Rattus norvegicus: one gene and its partner. The protein of the gene in region 2 purifies or fractionates together with the protein of the main gene of each other region. This does not show direct contact. Links are inferred from orthologs where the notes say so. Each region holds a gene or a part of one and is shown on either strand. Other genes may lie near its edges. The genes, in order: Ppfibp1 and S100a4.

Region 1 (3,812 bases), on a different chromosome or scaffold from region 2:
AATTTCACACAAAACACCTGTTCTACTCCAGGTTGTGTACAGCCTACACTTGATCCTTGGTAAACTCTTTCCTGGCTGTGGCTCCTGTTTCCAAGAATAAAACCAGTATGTGAATGTATGGATTAGAATCCTATACTCTCCAACCAATATCTCCAAGCTCGTGTCTCTTCTCTTTCCTTTTCTTTTCCTGTTCTGACCCTTCCTTCCCCAGGTGGGTTGCTGGCATTTCCTTTTATACATACTTCTTAAGCAGAGATCTCAATTTGTCTGATTCAAACAAACTCAGTCAAATGTGCAAGTTTACAAGCAAGAATCCTTTACTGTTTCCACCAGAAACGAAGACTTTGTCTTTCTGAACAAGGAAACATTAAAAGACAAAAACACAAGGCAACTATCAATTGACTTTATTTCTTCTCATAAGGTAATGCGAACTTTGCATAATACTTTTGTAAATAAAATATATAATAAGAAGTTTTTTAACTTTATCACATATCATCAGTTGTTACGTTGTCCTTAATAAAAACTGCTTGGCATCTGTAACAGTCTGCTGGTATTTCCAACCAGGCTCTGGTAACAAACTGAGCTCTCCAAAGGGTGACATTTATTCATGTTTAAACTAAAACCCCAATACAGGAAGAAGCCAATATTGTCTTGATTTCATGAATGGGAGCATTCAAAGGAAACCACGGTTAGCATCTGATAATTTAATTAGAAGTGGACAGCAGAGTTACAAAGTTCACAATGAACAGCTTTATAACCGGCAAACATGAAAAGGAATACTGCTGACATTTGGAAATGGCCATCACCACAAACCGAACTGTCCCCCTGTCCCCTGGTGTGTAAGCTCCTGTCTGGAACACAGGAGGTCTCGTTTTGAGCAGCCCTGAATAAAAAGAGGATTGTCTCCAACACCACTAGAAACACTTGCATCCACACGCCACAGAGCAGCTGCTGTAACTTTCTATTTTCTTTACAAAAAGCCCTTGGGCCTTGTGTTACAGAAAACACGAGCGACGTGCTACTGGTCAGGACCATCAGAAAATGTTCTAATGCAGCTTTAAAATACTGGGATTTGACTGAAATAATCTGAAGCCCTGTGAGCTGACAGGCTGAGTATCAGGTACAGTGGACATGGCTAGGTGGACCCCTTAGTTCAACATAATGATGAGTTTAGCAAAGAAAAAGAAATAAGGAAGTTAACATGGAAAGGTTCTGTTTGGTTTCTTGTTTTTCTGAAGCCATTCTAACAGAAAACTTTTCTGATGGGGACATGAGTGTATCCGAAGGCTTCAAGCTGATGTGGTAACAACCCTAAAATACTTCATTATGAAGAAAATGGAGTCGGGATTAAAGTTCAAGTTCTAAGCTGCTCGACAATTTTGGTGGGAACCAAGAAGTATACATCATGTAGAATTTAGCCTGAGTGGTTAACACGGTTAAAATTCATCAGTGGAGATAAAATGGGACTGTGGTACCCGCAAGAATCAGCTGGTATGTGATCATAGGGAACACGGGGGTTTCTTTGTTTTAATATGATCTTTTGATCCTTGTGTCACAAAATAAAGGTTCTGTTTTCTGTAGACTGCATATATACACGTATTTAGAAAAATATATAAAAATAAGACAGTGAGAGGCAAGTGGCGGTGCTGCTGGCACATGGTGGCACTTGGCTCTGGGGGCAGCACGTTCAGCACAGCCGGCTGCAGTGAACACTGATGTGGCCAGGCCTCCCTCCTGGAGATGTGAGCGAGGCGCTCTGGTACACGCAACCGTGCGTGCAACACTTCCAACAGCACACGTCGCAGACTTCGCATTAAACAGAGGCAGAGCAAGCGCACTTTCGCTCACCAGCCTCTCTTTTTCCTCAACATGCTCAGAACTGGCACCATTCCCGTGCTATAGCTCTCCTTCTGAGCGAGCAGAAGTCCGAACAATAAGCAATGCACAACCTGTCACCTGCTGTATACACTATCCGAGAAACAAAGCTGGAAAATGACACGTGTGCTCCTGGCATTTGCCCAGGTGCTCTGCTCAAACGTTGGAGTCTTCATCTGTGATGCTGGCACTTGGGGAGCGGGCAGCAAAATCCTTAAACATGTCATCTTCCTTTAACATGTGCTGAAAAACAAGGGACATCGAGTTACACGGAGTTCTGAGCTCAGCACCACATGCTTCCAACACACGAGTAGGTGTTTAGAATAACATTTGCAACTTGCCATACACACTCACAGTACACACTCACCACACACACTCACCGTACGCACTCACCGTACACACTCACCACACGCACTCACCACACGCACTCACTGTAACACTTACCGTGAGATTGTTGATGCCTTCAGAAAACGCACCTATCTGTCTCACCGTCCCTTCTGAATCTTCCATCTACCAAGAACAGACCACAATGTGACAAGCTCATTTGTACAATTCCAAAAGTACAGATCACTAAATGACAGTCTAAACAGAGAACATATGCAAGAAAGTAGTCAGGTGCTGGGGATGTGCCTGCTGAGAAGCGGACGGGAATCTGCAGCTATTCAGGATACTTGGCCATTTTTATTTTCAGTCGTGGGAAGACAGCACCCTTCCTCAGTGACAGTGTGCAAGGCTTCCAAGCAGTGTCTGCATGACTGCGGGCGCCTTACCTGCTCTAACCGGTCCAAATCATCCTCTTCATACAGGCGCATGTCCAAGCCAGGTCTAAACCCCTTCTGGGAGCTACCCGACGCCTGGCCTAGCTCCATTGGACAGACATACTCCTCCCCATCTTCATGTTTCTTCTTCCTCAGATTCCCAAAGTTGCTAAAGGTCAGTTTCTTTGGCTTTAAAAGAAAACAAGGGGTTGGGGATTTAGCTCAGTGGTTAGAGCGCTGGCCTAGGAAGCGCAAGGCCCTGGGTTCAGTCCCCAGCTCCAAAAAAAGAACCAAAAAAAACAAAAAAAACAAAAAACAAAAAACAAAAAGACACCCAGAGGTAGGATAAAATCCCTACAGCAGAGGACTAATTATACCTGTAAATTAATTCACCTCACCACACAGGGGTAGCAACTTCAATGATGAAATTATCACGAGAAAGCCAGAAGCACCCCAGACACAGTAGCAACGTGCCTGAATATCATAAACGGTCTTGGCGTAACTCTCAAAAGGTTAACCTCGCTGTTATGCCACAGGCGGGACATGTCAAAATCCTTTGCTTGGATTAGACAGGACTTCATATAAGAGAATTCCTCTCAGGGATGAGCCAAACTTTGCAAGACTATTCAGTCTAAGATTAGGAAAGGACAGTGGTCTTTGCTGGGCCTTTGTGGCATGGGGCCTGCCTGCAACTGCAGCTACTCGGTGGCTGAGGCATGAGAATCACAAGCTTCAGGCCTGACTCGGCAACTTAATAAGAGCATGACTCAAAATATTAATTAATTAACTAATAAAATTTAAAGAGAAAGGGCAGGCTGGGGTGTACAGTTCGATGGCAGAGCTCTGGGTTAATATGATTAAGAGCCTAGGTTCAACCCCAAGCTGGGTGGAGAAGAGGGAAGGAGACAAGACAGGAAGGGAAGGCAGGTGGTAAAGCTGGGGTTACTTGGTTTGCCTGTTGTGCTTCATGGTAGGACTGGTGAGTGGTAAAAGAATCCACACTCCTAGAGGGAGAGTCCACTGATCTTTGGGAGAGAAATGTCACCTTGGTCAGTACACAGTCCCCAAGGAGAAGGAATTCAAAGGCAGACGGTAAAAACAAAGAGAGCTCAGCATATATTTCTGGGAGAACTCATAAATTGTCTTCACATTAAGGACATGAAAATAATACATCAGACA
Region 2 (4,316 bases):
ATTGCTTGTCCCACAGCCTTTAGAGGTCAGAGACAGTATGTTAAGAGAACAACTATTTCAGTCATCCATGGTAGCATACATCCATAATGCCAGCACTGAGGAAGCTGGCAAGGAGGATCAGAAGTTCAAGGCTACCTTTGGCTACAGGAGTGAGACTTCTCAGAGAGAGAGAGAGAGAGAGAGAGAGAGAGAGAGATTCTTATGCTACTCTATATTACCCTTCTTTGTCCAACCCTTCATGGAAAGGAAAGGATTAATCCAGTGAAGCCAATGAGCTAGAACGGGTAGCAAGACAGGATCTGGACTATAAATGTTAGGGCTGAATGCCAGTCCACCTCCCCACCCTTCTCTGGCTTCAAGACTCCTGCCTCATGACTCAGGCAGGCCTGTTGTCTTCCCTCCAGACCCCAACCAGCAGCAGATGTGACCTTTAATTCCATCCCAACTTCAGTTTGAGCCCAGAGGCAGTACTAGAGAGAGGAGGGAGAACCGTGGGCTGGATAACATCCCACATCTGGAGCCTTTCAAGGCAAGCCTCTGGTGGTTTCTGCCTTTAGTGTTCCCAGAGTTTGCTTTGTTGCATGTACAGGAGCACGTGAACACACACAAACACACACACACATGCACGCATACACACAAATATACACTTGTAATGAACTCAGAATAAGTCACTCACCCCTCCCCAACCTTTTCTAGTTTGGCCCCCACAAAGCTCCAGGTCAACTTCCAGCCATCTCTGCCACCACCCTCCCTCAGCCCCACCCACCCACCCACAATCTCCAGTCTCTCAGACATAGTTTCAAAACTCTTTATTAAACTTGCTCAGCACTGTGCACATGTATGAAGAAGCCAGAGTAAGGCACTATGCTCACAGCCAACATGGAAGATTCCCCCACTGGCCCAACACTTCATCTGAGGAGTCTTCACTTCTTCCGGGGCTCCTTATCTGGGCAGCCCTCAAAGAATTCATTGCACATCATGGCAATGCAGGACAGGAAGACACAGTACTCCTGGAAGTCAACTTCATTGTCCCTGTTGCTGTCCAAGTTGTTCATCAGCTTCTGGAATGCAGCTTCGTCTGTCCTTCTCTGGAGGTAGAAGAGGTACAGTTAGACGCCACCTCCAGCCAGGAGCTCAGGAAGGCTTGCAGACACCGTGCTAGCCTCAGGGCTCAACTGTGAGATGAGCACATGGGCTAGCTGGGAAAGGATGTGACCACATCTTCCCCACGCTTGTTTTAACTATGTCTATAGGTAACTGTCATGACAAGGAGGTGTTAACTAAGATAAGGTGTCATTGAGGGGAAGATCTGCAGGCATTTGTGTGCCTCCACAATCATGTCTTCACAAGCAGAAACTCGATTTCTGTTGCACATCACCGGAAAGACTGTCCTGATCTAGGCTGTGCTTTCAGACACTGACTACCTAATGTGGTTTTCCTGTGCCACTTCAGTTAACTTCATTCTAAGCCTTGTCTCAACGGGGGGCTGGTGTGAAGTAGATGGTTCATTGTGGTTCCATACCAAGCGCCAGGAGTAGGGAGAGATATATATATATATATATATATATATATATATATATATATATATATATGTAGATAGATAGATAGATATAGATAGATGATATAGATATAGATAGATAGATAGATAGATAGATAGATAGATAGATAGATAGATAGATATCTCCAGCCCCAGCCTCCTCCTGGGGATGCATCACATATGCAATACACAGACAGGATCCACTCACCCCCAGGAAGCTAGGCAGCTCCCTGGTCAGTAGCTCCTTGAGCTCTGTCTTGTTCAGCTTGAACTTGTCACCCTCGTTGCCTGAGTATTTGTGGAAGGTGGACACTATTACATCCAGGGCCTCCTCCAAGGGTCTCGCCATGGTGACCGTTGAGACCTAGGGGCAGGAGACACAAAAGTAGCCTTCTCCAACCCACACCAACAGTGTGTTGAGAGCTGGATATATGTTGCTAGGCATCACTCAAGTCACACTCAGTCTGTCCCCGTTTTTAGTGCTCTACTCCAACCTACTCTCTAAGAGCACTTCCAGAGACCGACCTCACTCCCAGGGAGATCAGAGGAGTGGTACCCACTGATGGCAAGAAGCTCATATGTGCTTCAAGCTCTGAAACTTGCAAAACTTACCACTCAAACTCTAGAAATTCATGCCAGCAGCCTTCTGTGCCTCCCCCCCAGGCCTGGCCTCAACAACAGCAGTTTTCCATCCCTCACTCAGCTTACTCACTCCCCAACTCAACCACAAGCTCCAGCCTCTGACCCATTCTTCTCCCTCCCAGCGTTGGGCGCGGCTGCTGGCTGCCTGCCCAGGGGCCTACAGTGAGGGAAAAAACCCAGCTGCCTAGTAGGAGTGAGATGAAGTGGCAGAGGTTGGGGTACAAGGGGAGGGGGTGGGGAAGCCAGGCTCTCTTGGCCTAGGTGCTATATGTTCATAGGGCTATGAACTACTATGAACACAAATGCCTACAGGTGGGTGTTGAACAGGTGGCTCAGTAGGTAGAGGTGCTTGCCACCAAGCTCAATGACCTGAGTTTGATCTCCAGAGCCCACATGCTAGAAGGAACAGATTGACTCTCACAAGAAGTGCCCCTTGGCATTTGCCCCATCCCCACCCATACACTCGTACACACAAATAAAATAAGTGTAATTTAAACATCGTAAAACAAAAATGCCTGCTGATGCCTTCACTTTGCTTCCTGTACCTGAGTGTCCACACACTGGCTTGGATGACCCAGCAACATACCTATCCATGACAGTGGCTCCCAAGCACCAACATACACTATAGCAACATACAAGCAAGCCTCAGCATCTCAGAATCTCCGGGAGCCATTTATATACTGCTTGTTTTTCAGTTTTCATTCTTGTGCAACACACACACACACACACACACACACACACACACACACACACACACACACCTCCGTACCAGAATCTCTCATCTGGATCCGTTAAAGACTTCTGCCCTCCCCCCAGTACGCCCCCTTTCTCCTGTCCTAGCCTCAGCCTCTAAACTGCTAACAGTGCTATCAGGCCAACACGACTCACCAGACCAAGAGAGAGGAAGTGCTGAACAGAGAGGTTTGGGGAGAGCCCAACAATCTGACCTATTTATACCCTGCCATGCCCTGCCCATGCAGGGGATGGGGGAACATGGATACTGCTCTTGCTGTTGGTCGATGCGGGTAAGTGTCACAGCCCAGCCACCAGCCCAGCCAAGAGCTAGGCTTCCTGCTCCCTAGCAGGCACAATCAAGTAGTGAGTGCGCTCCAGTGGGCAGGGCAGAGACTTGGATGGGGTGGATACCACCAAGTAGCCGCAGTTCAGCTAGAATCTTAGGAAGCTTTGAGAAGGGACAACCTGTACATGAGGTGTGGGGCACAGAAAAGGAGATGCTGGTGTTATAGACAAGAGATGGGAAACTGCCCTGGAATTATCTGGCTGAGGAATTAAGGAGGTGACCCAGCCAGTGGGACAATGTCAGCCCTTCTCTCCAGCCTACACAGCTTCTTGTCACATCAGGAAGATCCAGGGTGGAGGCTAGCAAATCAGGAGGGACCTTGGGACCACCCCAGGTATTAAGTGGGAAATATCATAATGGAGTTAGGTGGTAGTGTGGCCTAGAGGTTTATGCATGGATGGAAGCTTGAGTAAGGGTATTGGGGATGACAGAAGCATTCGGGATTGAATGCTCAGCTTGGAGAAGAGAGTTAGAGAAGAAAGAGGTGAATAGGGAGTCAGGATTAATCTCTAAGGATATGGTACAAACTCAGGGGTTAAGTGAAGGTTAGAGGGGGTTTGACTCTGGGCTCCCACAACCGCATCCTCCTTGTATTGAGTACCTCCCAAGGAGCCCCTTGTTCTCCTAGAAAGCCCAAGATAAGGACTTCTGGTTCAAGACAGGGGACAGAGAGATGGAGACAGAGACCCTCCAGTCTCATCCAATGAGACCTTATGTTGCCCCCACCCTCCTATTGGACACTAAGATTTGAGCATCTCTACTGGGTCTGATGCTGGGTCCCACAACCGCATCCTCCTTGTATTGAGTACCTCCCAAGGAGCCCCTTGTTCTCCTAGAAAGCCCAAGATAAGGACTTCTAGTTCAAGACAGGGGACAGAGAGGTGGAGACAGAGACCCTCCAGTCTCATCCAATGAGACCTTGTGTTGCCCCCACCCTCCTATTGAACAGTAAGATTTGCACATCTCTACTGGGTCTGATGCTTTGGGGGTCCATCTTCAGTGGTAAGCCTTCTTTCTCCAGTGGTAAGGAGCATAAAGGAACAAGGACTCAGTCCC

What was found.
Region 1: the proteins of S100a4 (region 2) and Ppfibp1 purify together in Homo sapiens (co-immunoprecipitation; 3 studies listed by BioGRID and IntAct, with this or other methods). This does not show direct contact. The link is inferred for Rattus norvegicus from reciprocal best matches to the Homo sapiens genes S100A4 and PPFIBP1.

Annotation. Positions count from the first base shown.
Region 1 is NC_086022.1:181,678,657-181,682,468, reverse strand, and holds the end of Ppfibp1 (liprin-beta-1), read right to left. Parts: intron 2,823-3,812; coding exon 2,646-2,822; intron 2,386-2,645; coding exon 2,320-2,385; intron 2,119-2,319; coding exon 2,032-2,118; 3' UTR 390-2,031; downstream 1-389. UniProt on the Homo sapiens protein: May regulate the disassembly of focal adhesions. Did not bind receptor-like tyrosine phosphatases type 2A.
Region 2 is NC_086020.1:178,387,317-178,391,632, reverse strand, and holds S100a4 (protein S100-A4), read right to left. Parts: upstream 3,105-4,316; 5' UTR 3,068-3,104; intron 2,272-3,067; exon of another isoform or gene 2,150-2,271; intron 1,902-2,149; 5' UTR 1,887-1,901; coding exon 1,746-1,886; intron 1,089-1,745; coding exon 924-1,088; 3' UTR 796-923; downstream 1-795. UniProt on the Homo sapiens protein: Calcium-binding protein that plays a role in various cellular processes including motility, angiogenesis, cell differentiation, apoptosis, and autophagy.